Mus musculus: one gene and its partners. The protein of the gene in region 4 interacts with the protein of the main gene of each other region in a biochemical or structural test. Links are inferred from orthologs where the notes say so. Each region holds a gene or a part of one and is shown on either strand. Other genes may lie near its edges. The genes, in order: Lrrk2, Erbb2, Sirpa and Matk.

Evidence for each region.
Region 1: the proteins of Matk (region 4) and Lrrk2 interact on a protein array, tested with the Homo sapiens proteins (2 studies listed by BioGRID and IntAct, with this or other methods). The link is inferred for Mus musculus from reciprocal best matches to the Homo sapiens genes MATK and LRRK2.
Region 2: the proteins of Matk (region 4) and Erbb2 form a complex in vitro, tested with the Homo sapiens proteins (2 studies listed by BioGRID and IntAct, with this or other methods). The link is inferred for Mus musculus from reciprocal best matches to the Homo sapiens genes MATK and ERBB2.
Region 3: the proteins of Matk (region 4) and Sirpa form a complex in vitro, tested with the Homo sapiens proteins (3 studies listed by BioGRID, with this or other methods). The link is inferred for Mus musculus from reciprocal best matches to the Homo sapiens genes MATK and SIRPA.

What each region holds. Positions count from the first base shown.
Region 1 is NC_000081.6:91,808,847-91,813,624, forward strand, and holds part of Lrrk2 (leucine-rich repeat serine/threonine-protein kinase 2), read left to right. Parts: intron 1-2,145; coding exon 2,146-2,298; intron 2,299-3,345; coding exon 3,346-3,554; intron 3,555-4,778. UniProt on the Homo sapiens protein: Serine/threonine-protein kinase which phosphorylates a broad range of proteins involved in multiple processes such as neuronal plasticity, innate immunity, autophagy, and vesicle trafficking.
Region 2 is NC_000077.6:98,432,226-98,437,003, reverse strand, and holds part of Erbb2 (receptor tyrosine-protein kinase erbB-2 precursor), read right to left. Parts: intron 4,094-4,778; coding exon 3,955-4,093; intron 3,874-3,954; coding exon 3,751-3,873; intron 3,606-3,750; coding exon 3,507-3,605; intron 3,113-3,506; coding exon 2,927-3,112; intron 2,791-2,926; coding exon 2,635-2,790; intron 2,505-2,634; coding exon 2,429-2,504; intron 2,203-2,428; coding exon 2,056-2,202; intron 1,730-2,055; coding exon 1,632-1,729; intron 1,480-1,631; coding exon 1,291-1,479; intron 1,076-1,290; coding exon 823-1,075; intron 692-822; coding exon 336-691; 3' UTR 1-335. UniProt on the Homo sapiens protein: Protein tyrosine kinase that is part of several cell surface receptor complexes, but that apparently needs a coreceptor for ligand binding. Essential component of a neuregulin-receptor complex, although neuregulins do not interact with it alone.
Region 3 is NC_000068.7:129,612,921-129,617,698, forward strand, and holds part of Sirpa (tyrosine-protein phosphatase non-receptor type substrate 1 isoform 1 precursor), read left to right. Parts: intron 1-2,526; coding exon 2,527-2,844; intron 2,845-3,302; coding exon 3,303-3,638; intron 3,639-4,778. UniProt on the Homo sapiens protein: Immunoglobulin-like cell surface receptor for CD47. Acts as docking protein and induces translocation of PTPN6, PTPN11 and other binding partners from the cytosol to the plasma membrane.
Region 4 is NC_000076.6:81,255,505-81,260,721, reverse strand, and holds the start of Matk (megakaryocyte-associated tyrosine-protein kinase), read right to left. Parts: upstream 3,424-5,217; 5' UTR 3,148-3,423; intron 2,893-3,147; exon of another isoform or gene 2,752-2,892; intron 2,682-2,751; exon of another isoform or gene 2,487-2,681; coding exon of another isoform or gene 2,418-2,486; intron 2,243-2,417; coding exon of another isoform or gene 2,192-2,242; coding exon 2,183-2,191; intron 1,549-2,182; coding exon of another isoform or gene 1,546-1,548; coding exon 1,435-1,545; intron 1,340-1,434; coding exon 1,224-1,339; intron 1,136-1,223; coding exon 916-1,135; intron 634-915; coding exon 540-633; intron 1-539.

The DNA of each region.
Region 1 (4,778 bases), on a different chromosome or scaffold from region 4:
ATGTAATATCTTAATTCCATTGTTCACAGTGGTTCTCCATGAGCGGTGATCAAAAATTGCTAGGGAGCTCAGTCAGTCTCATGCCCAGGCCTTGCTTCGGGCCAATGAAATCAAGACAACTAAGAGGATTCTGGCTTCAGTTTCAATGCTTTAATGTATTATGGTATTAGATGATTCTAAAGCATAATCATCATTAAGATATACTCCAGTATATTACAAGTCAGTACAGATGAGTGGTAGTTTTGCAATATTTATGTGTTTACTAGCATGTGTAAGTATTTGGATAGCCTCCTTTTTCTGTGATATTCACTTTTTAGAGAAGTATACAATCCTTAAATATTTTAGAAGCAGAGACATCCATTTGATATAGAGCATTTGATGGCATTGTGGGTATGTATTGGTACCTTGTGTGGATGGAAAACAGCCATGAAGAGCAGCCTCACCCAGGAGTTCATTTTCCTAGAGAGATGAAGACTCACATCACATAAGGCACAGGGAAACAGTTGCCTTGTTCTAAGGGTATTTACTGCTGTGCTCTCCACACACACAGAGGTAAGAGCACTGATCAGGGACAGCGTCATTACAGTACCCTATAGTTAGTGCTGTGTTCCATGACTGGAAGACACATGTAGTCCTGAAAAATGTCTGCTTTTAGAGTCTGAGACTTGTTTTGTGTCTCTGTTCTGCAACATGCCAGTCATGTGGCCTGGGAGTGAATTATTTACCATTTGTAAGATGTATTCTTTTTGCATATCTAGGCACTGAGATTCATCTTTTTTTATAAATTTATTTGCATTTCTTATGGTAGGACAGAACGTGGGGCCCTGTGAGTGCTAGGTGACGTCTGTATCATTGGATTATGCCTGCAGGGATGTAATTTTATGGTTAAGGATCAACACAAGACAACACACGAAACTGTTGCGTGGTTCTAAAACCATGTGTTTATGTTCATTCTCACGGAAGTCTTTATTGAAGACTCAGCAAACACTTGAGCAAAATCAATGAAAACAATGGCTCTCTGGCAGGAGGGGATATTTTCATCTTCCTTAAAGAACAGAAAGAAAAAATGGAGGGAAAAAACCCTCCTGCCTATTAAAAGAAATATTGATTTTTTTCAATTCCCCTGACATTTCTATATATTCTGTCTAAGTCAATCACAAATTTGAAGTTCCTCACTTTTTTCCAGGTGCCCATTCAACCTTGCTAGTTCATTCTTTGTTGATCCATCCTTCTGTCCACTCAGTGAATCAAATGGGCCAGCACAGCACACACACTTCGCTATGTATGATAATGGTGCACTGAATTGTGGACATATAGGAGAGATTGGCATTTGTTTTTAGGAAGTTATATTGACAGTCTAGTGTGGGGGATACACTAATGAGTGAGACTTTATGTTTAATAGGACTATGAGAAAGATTATAGCTATGCAATTAGGGGGAAGGAAACAGCTGGCCTGTTCTCTCCCAGAGATCAGGGAAGAATTCCAGAGAAGCTGACATTAAGGTGAGCCTGGAGCATGCCATGCAGATGGGGCCTACAGTCTCTAATCTGCTTGTGAGCTATACGTGACACTTATGTGTTAGGTTAAAAGAGCAATATTTGAAAATGCTTTCTATTTTCTTCTGTTTTCAAGGAGAATAAATAACAAGTATCTAATTTCTCAAGCTCTGTTAACGTTGTACTCATTTGAATCTTTGTGGAAGGTTTTTTTTTTTTTCATATTTGACTGACTTACATTTACAAAGCTAGGGGGTTCTTTGATGTTTGGAGACATTGCCACTGTAATTTATCTCCACGTCTTTTTAATTCTAGGTACAAAGAGCCAGTTCTCAGGTTTCCCCAACACTCATGGCAACAAGGATTCTGTTGACATGTCTAAAACTTACAGACACCATATTTCTTTGAGGATTTAAGAGGTCGTGTAAAATTCCATACAGAATCAGGTTGACCTAAGCTGCAAAATTGTACCGTTTATTCTGTGGTCAAGTACAGCCCAAACCAGTTAACCAGAATGGGTTAAGTAGCCAAGTCATTCAACTGGGTTGAGAGAAAAATGTATTATAATTACGATAGCACAACTTGTTTGATTTTGCAAATAGCGTTAACTTTCTGAATATATTTTTTTCTATCTTTCTTCCCCCTCAGGTTTTCTTACGCAGCTTTCAGCGATTCTAACATCATAGCGCTGGCAGTAGACACAGCCCTGTATATTGCCAAGAAAAACAGCCCTGTCGTAGAGGTGTGGGACAAGAAAACAGAAAAGCTCTGTGAATTAATAGACTGTGTGCACTTCTTAAAGTAAATGAATTGGTTACTCTACCTCTGGTTTTACAAGTCAGGGTCCACAGAGAAAGGAATTGTGGCTTTTGTTTATTCCTGTCTTCTAGGGAAATTAAAAAAAAATATTTTGAAGAAAGTTTACTCTTTGTTAATACATCCTATGTATTTTCTTACACATATATCTCTATATCATCTCATCCCATCTCATCTCATCTCATCTCATCTCATCTCATCTCATCTCATCTCATCTCATCTCTCTATCTCTCTATCTCTCTATCTCTATCTGTCTGTCTGTCTGTCTGTCTGTCTGTCTATCAATCTTATATAGGTATAGTCTACATCATCTATATATCTATATGTTTGAATATAAGTGACTTATTTTTCTTTTGTAATTTTCAGATTTCACAGAGAGCATTGAAGCTAATTCCTTTATATTAACACGGAAATTTCATTGTATTTATAGTAAATATTTACAAGTTATAACATTCATTACAAAACAATGAATATCCATCTAATTCACTTAAGAATTTCCTAAAGTTGAGAGGTTATGGCAATCATCAATATCTTTGAAAACTTGTGCTTCAAGCAAAGGAATGTGCTTCCTGGCTTTTTGTGTTAAACAATTGAACTCTGCAGTCTTGAACTCTACCCAGAGCATAAAGCCAGCCTTCCATTTTTCCAGGTTTTCCTTCCAGTGTAGACCCTGATGCTTGCATGGTTACTGAATATGTACGTGCATGCTCTGTTCCTGTCATTAATCCCTAAACAATACAGCATAAAAGCTATTTACACAGAATTCACATTACATCAGTACAATGAGTTGTTTAAAGTTGGAGGGAGGACGGATGGAAGCTTCCTGAAAAGGCTGTGCTGTTTTTAAATAAAGAATCATAATTCCTGTGATTTTGGTAACTAAAGCCAGGGAACCTGTGTTCAGACTTCCAATATGACTGCCTTGACGCCGCCATGGTTTAAAATTTAGTAAGCTGTGCATGCCTGGGTAAATCTTTCAAGTCTCTTCAGTGCCATTAGAACGTTGAGTAAATACTTTCTTTATGGTTCTAGGGAGGTGATGGTAAAACTAAACAAGGAATCGAAACATCAGCTGTCCTACTCTGGGAGGGTGAAGGCCCTCTGCCTGCAGAAGAACACGGCTCTCTGGATCGGAACTGGAGGAGGCCACATCTTACTCCTGGATCTTTCTACTCGGCGAGTTATCCGCACCATTCACAATTTCTGTGATTCTGTGAGAGCCATGGCCACAGCACAATTAGGCAAGTTTCTTTCTTTAGATAAATCCATACTTGTTCTGTTTTTTGTTTTTGTTTTTGTTTTTGATTTTTCAAGACAGGGTTTGTATATAGCCCTGGCTGTCCTGGAACTCAACTTTGTAGACCTGGCTGGCCTCGAACTCAGAAATCCACCTGCCTCTGCCTCCCGAGTGCTGGGATTAAAGGTGTGCGCCACCACGCCCAGCTAAATCCATACCTTTTATGATGACAAAAATACCATTTTTTTTAAGTAAAATCTCTTTAAGGGGAATTCTGATGCAAATTGTAGTGCTTTCAAGGGTCACATGATGAAGCCATCACTGGGCTAACTTCTGAGTAGGGCCAGTTAACACTAGAAGGGATAGATGCTTTTAGTCTCATGAGAGAGGCAGGCAACCTCAGATGCAACCAATTTAGCTCTCAAGAGCTCTTTTCACTATATCTAAGGCAAAAGAGAAAGTGCATACAGTGTATATTTCACTCTTCATCAAATAAGTCAAATGAATGCTTAAGCTGACTGTAAGCTTCACACCCTTGTCAGCTTCCGGCTTGGCTTTTACTCTTTAAATAAATTTATATTCTTAGAGCAATGATGCACAGTGAACTCCCAAGTCCACAGTTATCTTTGCTAACTTTTAAATTTTATCCAAGCTTTGGTTCATATTCTTGTTCATATTTTTTCCACTTAAATGTGAATAAATCAGGGTACCATGTGGACTATATTTTTCACAAAGGAATTTTTTAGTATCTTCGTTAGATGACTAATTTTATTTAGAAAACAGTAATTGCCCCATGTATGCAGACCTAATGACAAAAATATTTCAGTGGGGTGTGGCACCCCAAAAGCAGGCTTGTGAAACTTTACCAAATGGGAAGGGAAACACTCCCCATAAGAGGAATAAATTTAGCACCAAAAGGAGTTTCCCCTGCCTGGCACGGGCTTTTCATCTCTGGATACCTGAGCTGCATGTGTGAGCTAGAATTAGGTGTGCCTGGGATTTCAAACTGTCATATATGTGTTAAACAACCAGGGAGGGAGATATCACAATGGTTGTATCCACAGCCACCATCTACCAACTGTGTTAAATTCTCACCTTTGGTTTGTATGCCTTTTGGGGTCTAAGTGGTTGGTTATCACTAAAGTCTCAGTCAGTACAGTGAGCTGTGAGTGGTCTTACCGTCAAGGTGAGTTGAGTTACAAAATATACCTATCTGTTAGTATTTCAG
Region 2 (4,778 bases), on a different chromosome or scaffold from region 4:
CCCTTGCAGGCTGAGCTTCCCTCAGTCTTCAGAACCAAGAGAGCCAGGCCAGGTAAGGAATACCCACTGGACCCTACAGTCTGTCAGGGCAGTCAGGGTCTGTAATCCTCTGGGGCTGAACAGTGTGCTGTCTCTTCCGGCCAGGCGGGGCCCTCTTAACCACTCAGGATTGAAGCATCGAGCGAGGTTCCTCAGGGCACGTTCCTGGCATAGCCGGCTGCCCTGGATGTCATGTGGCCAGAGGACCTTCTCCCTGCTTTGTGGCGGGCGATGGAGACCACAAGTTAGGCCTTCCTTCCCCACTCTGAAGACAGAGGATGTCTGCACATGTGACCTCATACTGGCACATCCAGGCCTAGGTACTCAGGGTTCTCTGCAGTGGGGGTCCCTTCAAAGGTACTTGGTGGAGGACCCTGCTCCGATGAGTTCTGGTCCCAGTAATAGAGGTTGTCAAAGGCTGGGCTGAAGGCAGGAGAAGGGTGGGGCTGAGAGGCAGTGCCTGCTCTGGGTGCTAAGTATTCAGGGTTCTCCACAGCACCCCCAAAGGCAAAAACGTCTTTGACAACCCCATTTTTCCCAGGAGAGAGAGTCTTGGGTCTTTCTAGAGTAGCACCAGCAGGTCGGATGGGAGGCGGAGGACCCTCTGGGGTCAAGGGAGACTGAGGCCGAACCTCTGGCTGGTTCACATACTCTGAGGAGAGAAGAGATGTTGTTAGGGAAAGGGTCCAAGATATTCCTGCCCCATCATTGCCCCTCAGTGGGTGTAGCCTGAGGGTTCTCAACTCCCCTCTCCTCCCAATCTCTCGGGCCTGGATTTCATACCGGGCTGGGGGCTGCAGGCCAGGGGAGCAACGTAGCCATCAGTCTCGGGGGGCAGAGGTAATGTGGGATCCTCACTGTACCGCTGTAGAGGGCTGAGGTCATGTGGAGAGAGGCTCTGCAGTCCTTTGGTTACCCCCACTGCCAGGTCACCATCAAACACATCGGAGCCAGCCCCTTCGGAGGGAGCCAGTGGAGATCTGGGGGGCTCTTCTTCCGAGGGCTCCAGGCCCAGTGTCAGCTCACCACCGCCACTCTGGGGTAAGAGAAGGTCATGATGGGAGCTACTCAAAAGTCTGCGAGGGGAACAACGGGGTCCCAGGAGAGAAACACAGGTCACGATGGTGGCAGTGATGGAGAGAGTGGGGCCCCAAGGGTTGGAAAGCAGCCATGGTAATGGAATCTTCAGGAAAGGTGAGGGTGGGGGAGCTCAAAGGGCAGGACCATCCCTATTCCGAGGTGGGCACTGACCCTGGCCGACGAGCTGCGGTGTCTGCGGTGGGCTGTGCTCCCAGTACCTAGGGCAGGGTCTGGGGAGAAGAATCCCTGCTGGGGTACCAGGTACTCTTCAGCATCGACCAGCTCCCCCATGTCATCATCCTCCAGCAGTGAACGGTAGAAGGTGCTGTCCATGGGGCTGGAGGGGCCTAAGTCCTCGTTCTAGGAAGGAAGGGGAGACACGAGGTGACAGCCCTCCCAGCCTGGTGTTTAGTTCCCTGGAAGGGTTCACCGAGCTTTGGCTAGAGGCAGGGGCTATCCCTGCAGGAGGGAGGATGCTGTCAGAGCAGGTATGGTGTGGGAAAGCCCAGTACCTGGATGACCACAAAGCGCTGGGGGTCCCTTGCCATACGGGAGAATTCTGATACCAACTCCCGGAATCTCGGGCGACATTCGGAGTCAATCATCCAACCTAAGGCGGAAAAAAGTTCAGCATCCTTGTCCCAGGACCAGCCTGGCCTAGACAACCCTGGCTAAGCTGAAAGCCCTCCCGTGGCAGAGCACAACTGGACTCTGGGATCTTGAGGCAGAACCCTGGAGCGTTTCTAGGGTCCCCTTTTAGACTGGCCTCTCTCCTCTCCACAGATGTCCTCTGGCAGGACTTCCACTGTGAATAGGTAAGGCACCTTTGAGGCTCCCTCCAGGACACCTCCCATTTATCCCCCAGCCTGTAAGCGCCCGCACACAGGTCTACCACCCTTCCTCTCTGCCTGCCTGAGGCTCAGCCCTGCCACGCACATTTGACCATGATCATGTAGACGTCGATGGTGCAGATTGGAGGCTGAGGTAGGCGTTCTCCCTTCTCCAGCAAATCAGGGATCTCCCGAGCTGGGATCCCATCGTAAGGTTTGGCCCCAAAGGTCATCAGCTCCCACACAGTCACACCTAGGACAGACAGGCGTCAGGAGTCGGGGGACAGAGGAAGTCTGGGTGTGCAAAGGGAGGGGCTGTGCCAAGAGGTGGGGTCTACCCAGTCTCCTCACTCCCCAGGTGGCCATAAGACTGCACTGGGTAGACATAGACAACCTTCCTCCCCTTCCTCCTATCCCCACCCTCATTCTTCTGCCTGCATCCCACCCTGCCCAGCAACGCATCTACAGCCTCCACACACCATAGCTCCACACATCACTCTGATGGGTGAACCGGCGTCTGAGAATAGATTCCAATGCCATCCACTTGATGGGCACCTGGGGATGCAGAGTAAGAAGTCCTGACTGGGTGTGGTAGGGAGGTGACCCTTTTCCACGTTATCCCAAAGAAAGGTCAGATACCAATCCAGCCCGCCCCACCTCTCCCTCCTCCTCTCCCTCCTCCAACCTTGCCCCCATCTGCATGGTATTCAGTCTCATCAATGTCCAGCAGCCGTGCCAGCCCGAAGTCGGTAATCTTGACGTGGTTGGGACTCTTGACTAGCACGTTTCGGGCAGCTAGGTCCCTGTGAACAAGCCGAACTTCCTCCAGGTAGCTCATCCCCTGGACAAAGGGCATCCGTGTGGCACGTGAGTCTACATCACACCTTAGGGGTACTCCCACCTCATCCTGGCCCCGAATGAAGGCAGGGATTTGCACCCAAAAGATCTGCAGAGCCAGCAACCCCCAAAGCACATACCTTGGCAATCTGAACACACCAGTTGAGCAGGTCCTGGGAGCCTAAGCGACCTCGGTGTTCTCGGACATGGTCCAGAAGGCAGCCATAGGGCATAAGCTGTGTCACCAGCTGCACTGTGGATGTCAGGCAGATGCCCAGGAGGCGGGACACATATGGAGAACCCACACCAGCCATGACGTACGCTTCCTGCAGACAAGGGAACAGAGGGATACAGGAAACCATCAACTTCCATCCACTCTACTCTCCCAGAGACCCTCACCCTCCCTCACTGGCTACAGCCAGGGCCTCCAGACTAGGAAGATGAAGAGTCAAACCCCAATGAGGAAAAAGCAGCCCAGATCTGCACCTAGGAGCTCCTCACATTCTCAAGGGAGAGGGTAAAAAAAACAAAAACGGGGGGTGATCTTCACAATCCCAAGGAGGAGGTTAAAGGGGGGCTCCTCACATTCCCAAGGGGGAGGGTAAGGGGGGAGGGCTCCTCACATTCCCAAGGGGGAGGGTAAGGGGGGAGGGCTCCTCACATTCCCAAGGGGGAGGGTAAGGGGGGAGGGCTTCCCTAGCGGGGGGGGGGGGGGCTTACATCTAGGATTTCTTTGTTAGCTTTAGGAGATGTGTTTTCCCTCAACACCTTGATGGCCACGGGGATTTTCACGTTCTCCCCATCTGGGATCCAGATGCCCTGAGCGAAAAGAAAGGGACTAGAGTCAGGCCCCCATTAAGACACTGAGGAGTAGCCGTCCCCAGCCTCCAGCTTGGCCCACTCCAGTCTCTTGACCATGCCCCTCCCCCAGATCCACCCATGCCAGAACTGGTCCTCTCCTGACCTTGTAGACAGTGCCGAAGGCTCCTGACCCAAGCACCTTCAGCTTCCTTAGCTCTGTCTCCTTTAGGATCCGCATCTGAGCCTGGTTGGGCACAGCTCCACTGGGCGTCAGCGGCTCCACCAGCTGGAGCGAGAGGGTGGTAGGGTGAATGCCCAGCTAGCTGCAAAGCCAAGGGGGTGCTAGGAGGCCCTCGGCACGCCTCACCTCGGTCTCCTGCAGCAGCCTACGCATGGTATACTTCCGGATCTTCTGTCGCCTTCGTTTGATTAGGATTCCAATGACCACCACTATGATCAGGAACAACAGGACGCCCACCACAGTTGCAATGATGAATGTCACTGGGCTGGAAACAAGAGCCAGAATCAGAGACTGGGGACTAGTTTGAGGAGGAAGCTTGAAGAGAACCCATGAAAGGACAGGAATGTCCCTTGGCTCAAAAACTTCACAGGAGATAACCCACCTTGTTAATCTGCACTGTGCAGCCCACCCCAGGGGCTTCTGCCTCATATGAAATGGGGTCCAGTTATATGTACCCCAAAACTCTCAGGTACTAGCCAAAGCATTCTTCAAGGAGCCATGGTTTCCCCTGCCTTGCAGCAGTTGCACCTAAGTTCTCAGGACCCGTGTTTCTCCATGATATAATCGTCTATGATTCTGCTTATCTTGGGGCACACAGGGTCCCTGATAGTCACCAGACCATTATTTGTTGGTATACTTAGTCTTGAGGCTACCTCACGATATAGCCCAGACTGGCTCTGAACTTACAAGCCATGTGCCTCAGTCTCCTAAGTGCTGGGGTCACAAGGTGTCTGCCACCATGTCGAGGCAGAACACATTCTTGTCACCCTTGCTTCCTTAATCCCCATCTTGCTCTGCACAAGGCCTGTTGTTACAGCCAGCGTCCAGTGTTTGCCTCACAGGCAAGCAGCAGCTTCTTAGAGCACACCCTAGACTGCTTTTCTCCCTTCTAAAGCTCTCCTCTGGCAAACCAGAGTCCTGGGGCCCAGGGGTCAAGAACCCTACCCTGC
Region 3 (4,778 bases), on a different chromosome or scaffold from region 4:
CTTTTGATTGTGACTGTGCCCTGATATTTTCCCTCTTGAAGGAAGAAACTGTTTTAGTGATGCCCACAGTTAAGAGACTTTTAATTTAAAAAGACTTTGGATTTTTAAAAGAGATGGATATTTTAAAGAGATTGAAATTTTAAGAATATGTAAAGACTGTGGGACATTTAAAGTTATTTAGACCTTGGGGATGAATAAGAATGTAAGGGTTGAGGCTTACTAGTGATGTGTTTGTGTGTCAAGTTGACAAGGGGTCAGTTGTATTGGCTAGTTTTGTGTCAACTTGACACAGCTGGAGTTATCACAGAGAAAGGAGCTTCAGTTGAGGAAATGCCTCCATGAGATCCAACTGTAAGGCATTTTCTCAATTAGTGATCAAGAGGAAAGGCCCCTTGTGGGTGGGACCATCTCTGGGCTGGTTGTCTTGGGTTCTATAAGAGAGCAGGCTGAGCAAGCCAGTAAAGAACATCCCTCCATGGCCTCTGCATCAGCTCCTGCTTTCTGACCTGCTTGAGTTCCAGTCCTGCATCCTTTGGTGATCAACAGCAGTATGGAAATGTAAGCCGAATAAACCCTTTCTTCCCCAACTTGTTTCTTGGTCCTGAGGTTTGTGCAGGAATAGAAACCCTGACTAAGACAAATGGTCAGTGTTCTTAACCACTGGGCCATCTCTCCAGGCCCCAGAAGATAAATATTTTTTAAGTACTAAATTAGTTATCTCAGTGGAAGAGTTGAAACCCACCCACTATGCTTTTGGCTAGTCCCACTCTCCTCTGAGCCTTGTCCTACAGAAGGAGTTCACCCTAACTACCCCATCATGGGCACAGAGAGAGCAGCCAGTGCCAGGCTCTAAGAACTCAATAGATGGTGACTTCAGCTTTTTCCTGGTATCTGTAGGATACCCAAATCCAAAGATGCTTAAGGCCCTCATCCAGGATGGGGGAGATTTGCGTGTAACCTACACACATCCTGCCATCTATTTTAAATCATCTCTGGGTTTCTTATAATACTTAATACGATGCAAATGCTATGTAAATAGTTGTTCTATGTGTTGTTTAGGGAATAGTGACAAGAAAAAGTCTGTTACTATTCAGTACAGATGCAGCTTTTTCAACAATATTTTACATTTGCAGTTGGGTTAGATTTAAGCACAGGGAGTCCCCAGGGCCTGACGGATGGCTCTTCACTGCTGCTGGTGTCCTGATGACTTGACTTCTTCAAGTGACACCTCCTTTCTGTGCCCTCGACATATTAGGCGGATATTAGGGAGCAAGTATGTGTTGGCAGATGGAAACGTGTTGTGTTTGCTGTCTGGAAGTGATGCTGGTTGCTTATGAGCAGTTTGGATTAATCCCCAAGGGACACTGCCTCCCTCCTAGTCACCCATGAGTCCATTCAGGACCAGAAGAAGCGTGTCTGCTTGCTTGGTGGGGCTGCTCGCTGCTGTCTCTTTACTAATTAGAAATCAAGAGCCACCTTTGGCTTTCTTAACATAGAAGTGATCTTTGTTTCCAACTCTATAAACAAAAGCTCTCCAGATTGAAAGCAAAAATTCCCTTTAGCCTCTCTCTTTCAAATATGGGACTTGGCCTGGGAAAAGCCTACTAGGTTGTAGAGAGAGAAGAGGAAAACCCACGTAGTGAATTCCCAAGTTCTTACAGGGAGGATGTAAGAATAAAGTGTAGGGCTGGAGAGAGGCTCACTGATTGAGGAGCTTGTACTGCGCTTACCAAGGATCTTAGTTCAATTCCCAGCACCCACGCGGCTGGGTGACTCACAACCGCCTGCGACCACAGCTCCAGGGGATCCAGTGTCCTCTCTGCTCTCTTAAGGAACTCACTCATATACACAGACACATTAAAAATTTTTTTAAATAAATATCCAGGTCAAGGTCAGATCTGTGTGTCTTGTTGAGGAGCATCTCTGTGTGTCTGTCAGTCATCTGAAGCAGGAAGCCTCCAGGGCCTCATCTCTTCCTCACCGCGTCCAGAGAGCAGAAACCTTGCCTCCCATTTCATATGCGTGGCTCTGGGCAGTGTAAACATCTCAGAGCAGCCACTGGGATCCTACAGTGTTATTTGTTTCCTGTGTTTACTTCTGCAAACACTTTTCTCTAAGTTGGCAGAGTTTCCAGGAATGCAGTTAAAAGTAGTTAAAGAATGAGATAGGTCAGCAATCTTGGAAATCCCTGAAGCAGAGAAGATTTAGACCTCGGGCCTGGAGTTCCTGGCCTTGCCTTACTGCCTGACTGACCCCTCCATTTCATGAAACCTCTGCATCCTCCCCAGATAGAAGGCTAAGGACATGGTCATTCCAGCTTCATCAGGAGGGAGATTAATGAATAGTGTCACCAGTCTAGAGACGCCATACGGTTTAGTAGTAGAATATGCACTGAGTGTGCATAAAGCCCTGGGGCCAATCCCCCATGTTCCAGTGTGATGACAGTATCTAGGCAGACGACTTACACCACCAGTTCATTTGCTTGGCCATCACAATCATATTTCTTGTCTATAAATGCTCCTTTAGCCAAACCTTCTCCACCGGAGGTATCCGGCCCAGCAGACAGGGGCATACCTGACCAGAAAGTGAACTTCACCTGCAAGTCTCATGGCTTCTCTCCCCGGAATATCACCCTGAAGTGGTTCAAAGATGGGCAAGAACTCCACCCCTTGGAGACCACCGTGAACCCTAGTGGAAAGAATGTCTCCTACAACATCTCCAGCACAGTCAGGGTGGTACTAAACTCCATGGATGTTAATTCTAAGGTCATCTGCGAGGTAGCCCACATCACCTTGGATAGAAGCCCTCTTCGTGGGATTGCTAACCTGTCTAACTTCATCCGAGGTAGATGTCCTTGACTTCTAGCCCAAGTTCACAGCAGCCATTACCCTATGACTAGCACCATGCTGGTAGTTGCATTTCAATGGCAACTATAATTCCTGGGTACCCAGTGTGAGCCACGCCCCCTTTGCCTGGTAGTTTTCATTTATTTTGTTTTAGGTACTGCATGCATTGACATCATTCATTATCACCATACCAGTAGCTACCAGTTCCCAGACAAGGCACCGTTTGTATTCTGGGTACTGTGCTTAATGCTACCAGTTCCCAGACAAGGCACCGTTTGTGTTCTGGGTGCTGTGCTTAGTGATTCCATTTGTATGAGACCCACACTGCCTGAGTACGCAATGCATGCCTAGTAGTCTTGTTTGTTTGCTGTGATGGTGGGAGAGGCTCAGCTCTGCAGCCCCTCCCTGGGATCACAGTGCAGCTTAAGGTTAGAGCTTTTGCCTGTACTGTTTCAGTTTCACCCACCGTGAAGGTCACCCAACAGTCCCCGACGTCAATGAACCAGGTGAACCTCACCTGCCGGGCTGAGAGGTTCTACCCCGAGGATCTCCAGCTGATCTGGCTGGAGAATGGAAACGTATCACGGAATGACACGCCCAAGAATCTCACAAAGAACACGGATGGGACCTATAATTACACAAGCTTGTTCCTGGTGAACTCATCTGCTCATAGAGAGGACGTGGTGTTCACGTGCCAGGTGAAGCACGACCAACAGCCAGCGATCACCCGAAACCATACCGTGCTGGGATTTGCCCACTCGAGTGATCAAGGGAGCATGCAAACCTTCCCTGGTGAGGCCTCCACTCCCGCTGATTGGTCTTTTTTTCTTTTTCCTTTTTTTTTTTTTTTTTGAATCTTTATCATGATTTTATCTGTTTTTCAATGTTAAAGTTATTATATCATGCTTATTATAGAGAAGTCTAGAAGTTTATAAGCATAAACACAGTTTTAAAATGGGAACTGCTTCTCCAGCATTTGTGCTCCTAGATTCAGCACTGGTAAGAGTTTGGCTCCTGTCTGGATAGGTCTGATGACACAGTGTATCAGAGAGGAGGAAAGGGAGACGGAGTCTGTCTTTGCTTGCCTCCTGCCTCCTGCTTTTTCCTCCTAACAGTTGTTCTATCCCCATGGCCCCTCCCCTACTCTCACTCTTTCTGGCCTCTGCTCCTTGCTGTGCCATCGCTTGTCCCTCCTTTAATGTCTCATAGAGGCTGGCGATCTGGCTCAGGGACAGCCAGTACTGCAAAGAGTATCCTTGTTCATACCTTCTCCTAGTGGCCATCTCCCTGGGACAGTCATCCTGTGACTATTCCTAGGCCAAGGTGTGTGTGTCTAGGACAGCTGCCATGCTCCACATCCTGTGACAGTTGACATGTCAGCAGTGCCACCTCAGCCCCTCCAGTGTGCCGTCAATCCAGAGCTCTTCTTTTGAAAGTGGCCACGTGGCAACAGCTCTTTAGCACTGTCTCAATGTTTGTCGGCTCTACAGCTGATGCTGTGTACATAGCAGAGCCTCTGAAGGGGAGAGAACAGGGGCCGCCTTTCCACTCCTCCTTCAAAGGTGCTTCAGGAGTTCCATGAGCCTGTGTTGTGTTCCTTTACCCATGACTGATTCCTTAAGGATGCATAGACCGTGCAGATAGGAAGTGTCCATGATGGCTCTATCACTGACTTGCTGTGTGATCCTGGACAAGCCAGTGCCTCTCTCTGAGCCTCTGCTTGTTTGTGGGCATGTTAAAAGGGATAGATTTGTCACTCCTTGGTTGGTAAGGACCATGACTGTCTTACCCAACACCACCTTTAGAGCACACAAAACACAGTAGGGAATCAGTAAAGAAATAGTTTGCTGGTGGATGAAAGGCCGGGCAGGTGGCTCCTCAGGTCATCCCCATGCTGTTGAATGATGTAATAGAGGAAACCAGCAGGAGACC
Region 4 (5,217 bases):
CCTGCAAGCCACAGCCATCCCAGCCTTCATCAGAATACAGTCCCCCCCTAGGTTCCCTAGACTTGAGCCATGCTCCAGGACCTCCCTCTAGGGACAAGGAGTATGACTGCCCCTGTGGCCCGCCATGCCTCTGGGAGGGCCTTCCCCTTGCTGACCCACACAGAACAAAAGGCACAGAAATACAGAGAGGTTTGCACAGGTTCTGGAATCTTTCAGGGCTATAGTCTCCATAATCTTGTACTCTGCACAGACTTGCAGTTGCCTCTGAAAGCCCTCCCTCCCTTCCAAAGACCTCTAACCCCCACCCTACCGCCACTCTGAAGATTCAAGCAGGACAGACACCTCTCCACTGCGATTTTTGTCTCTGTGATTCCATAGCCCCCACTGGATAAGTGTGACAGGGTTGGAAGACGCAGGGGCTTAACCAAGCCAAGGCTGGGGTGTGAGGGTGAGCAATGAAATTAGGGGTGTGAGTCTGGGAGGTGGGAGTCTGCCTGGTGCGCACGAGGATGCTCCCTTCTGCAGTATGGCTCTCATACCCTTGGCGAGCTCCTCCTCTGCAGACTTTGCGCCCTGTTTCCTCCTTGGCTTCACCAGCTTGGTGCAGATGGCCCCCTTGTCCTTGGTGTAGTGCTGTGGAGGCCGCCGGCCATGAGCCTCTGCCCTGCAGGACCGCTCCCACCATCCCACCCCAAGTTTCAGTGAGGTTGCCAGACTCCTCCTCTAAGTGCCAGGCTAAGGTGATCGGGTTTCCATGGCAACAGTGGGGGTTGTAGAATGGAAACTGAGGGGTGGTTGGTGTGAACATAGAGCTCCCTGGGGAGGTGACCCCAGTTCTAGAGAAAGAAGTGACAGTTCCTGGGGCCACCATCCATATTTCCATCCCTCCTTCCCCAGCCTTGCCCCACACGTCACCTCCACCATGTCCATCAGGTTACAGAAACACACGGCCTCATCGATGGTGAGGTGCCCATCTCGATGCAAAACACGGTAGTGGATGACGTCACGGCCGAAACTGACACACAAGACATAGTCTCCAGGGTGACGAGCTGATTCCCTCACAAGGAACAGCCCGTCCTCGGGTGGCTGCAGCTGCTGTATGGCTTCCTGGCCGGAGATCTTGCCATGAAACCATCTGTAGGGATGTGTGTGGAGAGGGGGCTGTGTAAGGCAGGGGTAGAGGGGGCTGAGCCTCTCACACCACCCCCCAGGGTGCCACTCACGGCATGAGGCTGAGCTTGGGGTCTGTGGAGAGGGCCTCCCGCTGTCGCAGAGCAGCGGCCGCCAGCAGCCCTTCCTGCCCACTGCCATGGTGCTTGGCTCGGTACCAGCTCTTGTCCTGTACAGGAAGGGAACAGATGTGGGGAAGGAGCTGGTGGGTGTCGGCCCTGGCACCCCCAAGGCACACCACCTACCCTCCAGCTCCCCTCTCACCTCACAGGCCTCCAAGATGGTCACCATGTCACCCTTTCGAAAGGCTAGCTCACCGGGCTTGGGGCGAGAGTTCTCACACTTGGTCATGCATTGAGTCCCAGGGGCCCAGCGCTGCTGGGAAGGAGACAGAGGCAGAGGTATGTCAGGGACTGAACACAGGGACAAGTGGGAATTGGGAGGGACAGAGAGACCTGAGAGAAAGCTGGGGCTGGTGAGGATAGAAGACCGGACAAGGGAATAGTGAAGACACAGGCCTGTAGCCTAGCTCTCAGAAAGCTGAGCCAGGAGGACTCCAAACCAGCCAAAGGCCCATCCTGGGCTACAGTGAGACTTTGTCTCAAAAATTAAAAGATGATGATGCCAGGAGTGCTGGCCAACACTTGTAATCCCAGAACTCAGGGCAGGGGTGGGGGTAGCAGAGGAAAGTGGATCTCTGAGTTTGAGGCTAGCCTGGAGACTCTCAGGTCCCAAGCCAGGCATACCTACACATTGAGACCCTGTCTCAAGAATAAATTAAAATAAAGAATAGAGGCCTGGGGATAATGTCTAATACAGAAAGGAAGGGGGGAGGGAAACAGAGTTATAGAGAGAGGCAGAATTATAGTCACGTGAAGCCATTTTGGCGGGTGGGGGGAGAGGGGTCCTTGGGGACTGTCAGGTGTGGGTGCTTGCTCAAGTGGGGAGGGGCATGTTCCCCCCCAAAAGGGGACAGTTGAAAAGGTTTGGTGACTCAGGGCCCCACACTCACCGTTGGCATCCTAGCTGCAGCAGGCGCGGGGTGCCAAGCTCCGAACAATCTAGGGCTCACCTGTGAAGGAAGGCAGTGTCATGCTGGGAGTGTCCCCAGGTCCAGCTCTTTCCTCAGGGTCTGGCCTGGTGGCAGCAGCATCCAGGAAGCAAAGCGCCTCCCTCAAATCATCCCTTGGATGGCTTAGGTGTGGAGCCCCTCTGCAGCCCTTGGCTTTAGGGACAGTGATCATTACCCGAGGCAGGTCCCTAGATTCCCAGCCTTCAAAGGCCAGCCAGGAGACCCGGGAGCTTCGCCTTGCCATTGCTCGGGAAGGGAAACTGAGGCCCAGAGTCAGGAATGGAGTGATCTGGCCCAGGTGGCAGCCAGGGCTGTGTGTGAGAAAGAACTGGGCCTGTGGCTTCCTCTTTCCTGGGCGTGGGCAGAGGAGGCTGTGGGCAGGGGCCGTGACTCAAGGTCATTCCTGGGAATCTGACCCTAAGCGGAACCTGAGGAGGCCAGGCTCCCGTATAGCTCCTGGCTCCTCGGGTCGCAACGGGTCACCAAAGAAGCATCTTGAGGGGACCCACCCCATCCCAGCGCAGGCACTGCAGGGCTGCCCGGATCCCCGGCTGGTGGCTGGCAGGGGGGCAGGGCGGGAGGTTGGGGTGCGCTCCTGGCCTCAGACTCAGTGGGGTTTGCACGGCAGCCACGCAGGCGGAGGCGCACGTGCATCTGGGCACAGGTGCCACCAGCCACCCCCGTGTGTGCGACAAGGGCGCCAGTGAGACGCGTACACCTGTGCTGGTGCCTGTGGTGCACAAGGGCCCTGCAGTGACCACCGGGACTCGCGCACTCAGAGACTTGCACGCCGCACCCAGAAAAAAACCAAAATAAAACAAAAACCAGCCCGTTGCACCCGACGCCCCCGGGTCCAGGACCGTTTCGAGAGTGGTGTCCCCCTCCACCCACGCACACACGCTCACCTGCTTAGGGCGCGACCCTCGGAGGGTCCCTGCCAGCGGGTCGAGCACCCAGTGGCTCAACTCGGAGCAACTTGCAAGGCTTCCTCATTTTGGGGCAAGGATGGAGGGGACCCGGCTCGGAGCCCCCGCGGGTCCTAGCGCCGGTCTCACTAAGACCGCGCTGCCACCTCCTCCCGCTGCGCCTCCCACTCCGTCCGGGCAGAGTGCTGAGTACCAAGTGCCGGGTGCTCTCGGGTCCCCGCTGAATCCTAGCCTTCCTTCGCCCACCCTGGGAAAGCTGGGAGCGCGGAATGGCTCGGGCACGCGCGCAGGTGCTAGGAGTAGGAAGGAGCTCCCTGTCCGGGAAGGAGACCAAGGCAAGCTGCGGCCCTGCCTGGTCTGCCTGTACTTTCAGACATGCCAGCTGTGGAGCACTCAAACATCCTCCCAGCCCTCCGGAGGCAGAAGCAGGAGGATCTCTGTGAGTTGGAACCCTGCCTGGGCTAAAATAGAGAGCTACAGAGTAAGAACTTGCCTCAAAAAAAAAAAAAAAAAAAAAAAAAAAAAAAAAAAAGCAAATAAAACCCAATTAAGTAATTAAGCACGTTTGGGCAGAGGTGCCTAGAAGCACCCTGATGGACATGACACGGCCAGAAGCCACAGTCCTTAATCACAAGTCCCCAGGCAGATGCAGGTACCCACTGAGGAGTCCTTGGCCAGGGAGGCCCAGAGACTTGGAACCAAGGCAGCCCAAAGTTCCACTTTTCTCGGACCCTATTGCTGATGACAGTGTCTGAGTCACAGGCTCCCTCCCTCCTGTCACCATCAGCCACCACCCACACTGCCGGCAGATGCCCCACGGGTGCAGTAGTGGTCCAAGTGCTCTGCAGTAACCAACTGCTTTCTGACTCGCTCTGGCACGGGCCTAGCGAGACCTCCTCCAATTGTCTTACCAGTGGACTTTGTACAGATGTTTATTCTAGTACCTACAGTTAGCAAAGATCCAAAAGTGGGGACTGGGGCTCAATGGGTGACACACTGTGGTGTCACAGGCCTGTCACCTCAGCACTGGAGAGGCAGAAGCAGAAGGATCAGGAGTTAAGGTTATCCTCAGCTACGTAGTCAATTTAAGGCCAGCCTGGGCTACCTGAGAAGTATATGTGTTGAAACGGCACTGGCCCTTGGGGTTGAAGGACATAGCCTGCAATCCAAGCCTTGGGAGAAGCTGAGGCAGGAGCATGAGAAGATCAGGGTACAGAGGACATTTCCTTGTTTTTGTTTTTGTTTTTTTCAAGACAGTTTTTTTTTAAAAGATTTATTTATTATATGTAAGTACACTGTAGCTGTCTTCAGACACATCAGAAGAGTGCATCCAATCTCATTACGGATGGCTGTGAGCCACCATGTGGTTGCTGGGATTTGAACTCAGGACCTTCTGAAGAGCAGTCAGTGCTCTTACCTGCTGAGCCATCTCTCCAGCCCAAGACAGATCTTTTAAGAGAAGTGTTATTGTCAAGCTATAATGATGGTAGTGAGCCAGAGAGTTGTTTTAGTAGGGAAATCATTTGCTGCACACACGAGGGATCTGAGTTCAAAACCTTAAACTATGCAAAAATTCAGGTATAGTAGCTCATCTGTCATTGTAGCAAAGGGGAGGTTGAGACCCCAGCATCCCTGAAGCTCAGTGGCCACCAGTTTAGCACACCCGATGCATGGGAGGTTAAGTGAAAAAATCTGTCCAAAAACCAAAGTGGAAGCCAGGATTGTGGCCACAGCATTAGTCCCATGTGTCATGGAAGCAGAGGCAGGTGGATCTCTGAGTTTTAGGCCAGCCTGTTCCACAGAGTGAGTTCCAGGACAGCCAGAGCTACTCAGAGAAATCCTGTCTCGAAAAACCAAAACCAAAACAAACAAAAAACAACAACAAAAAAAGAAGTACAGCTCAGAGGAGACAGGGCATCCATGGCAGTTAGATGAGCCCACTCAGTGGTAAGAGCACTCTTGCACAAGACCCAGGATCAGTTTCCAACACCCACATGGTGATTTATAAACATCTGCAGCCAGTTCCAGAGAGGGTCTGAGCTCTGTAGG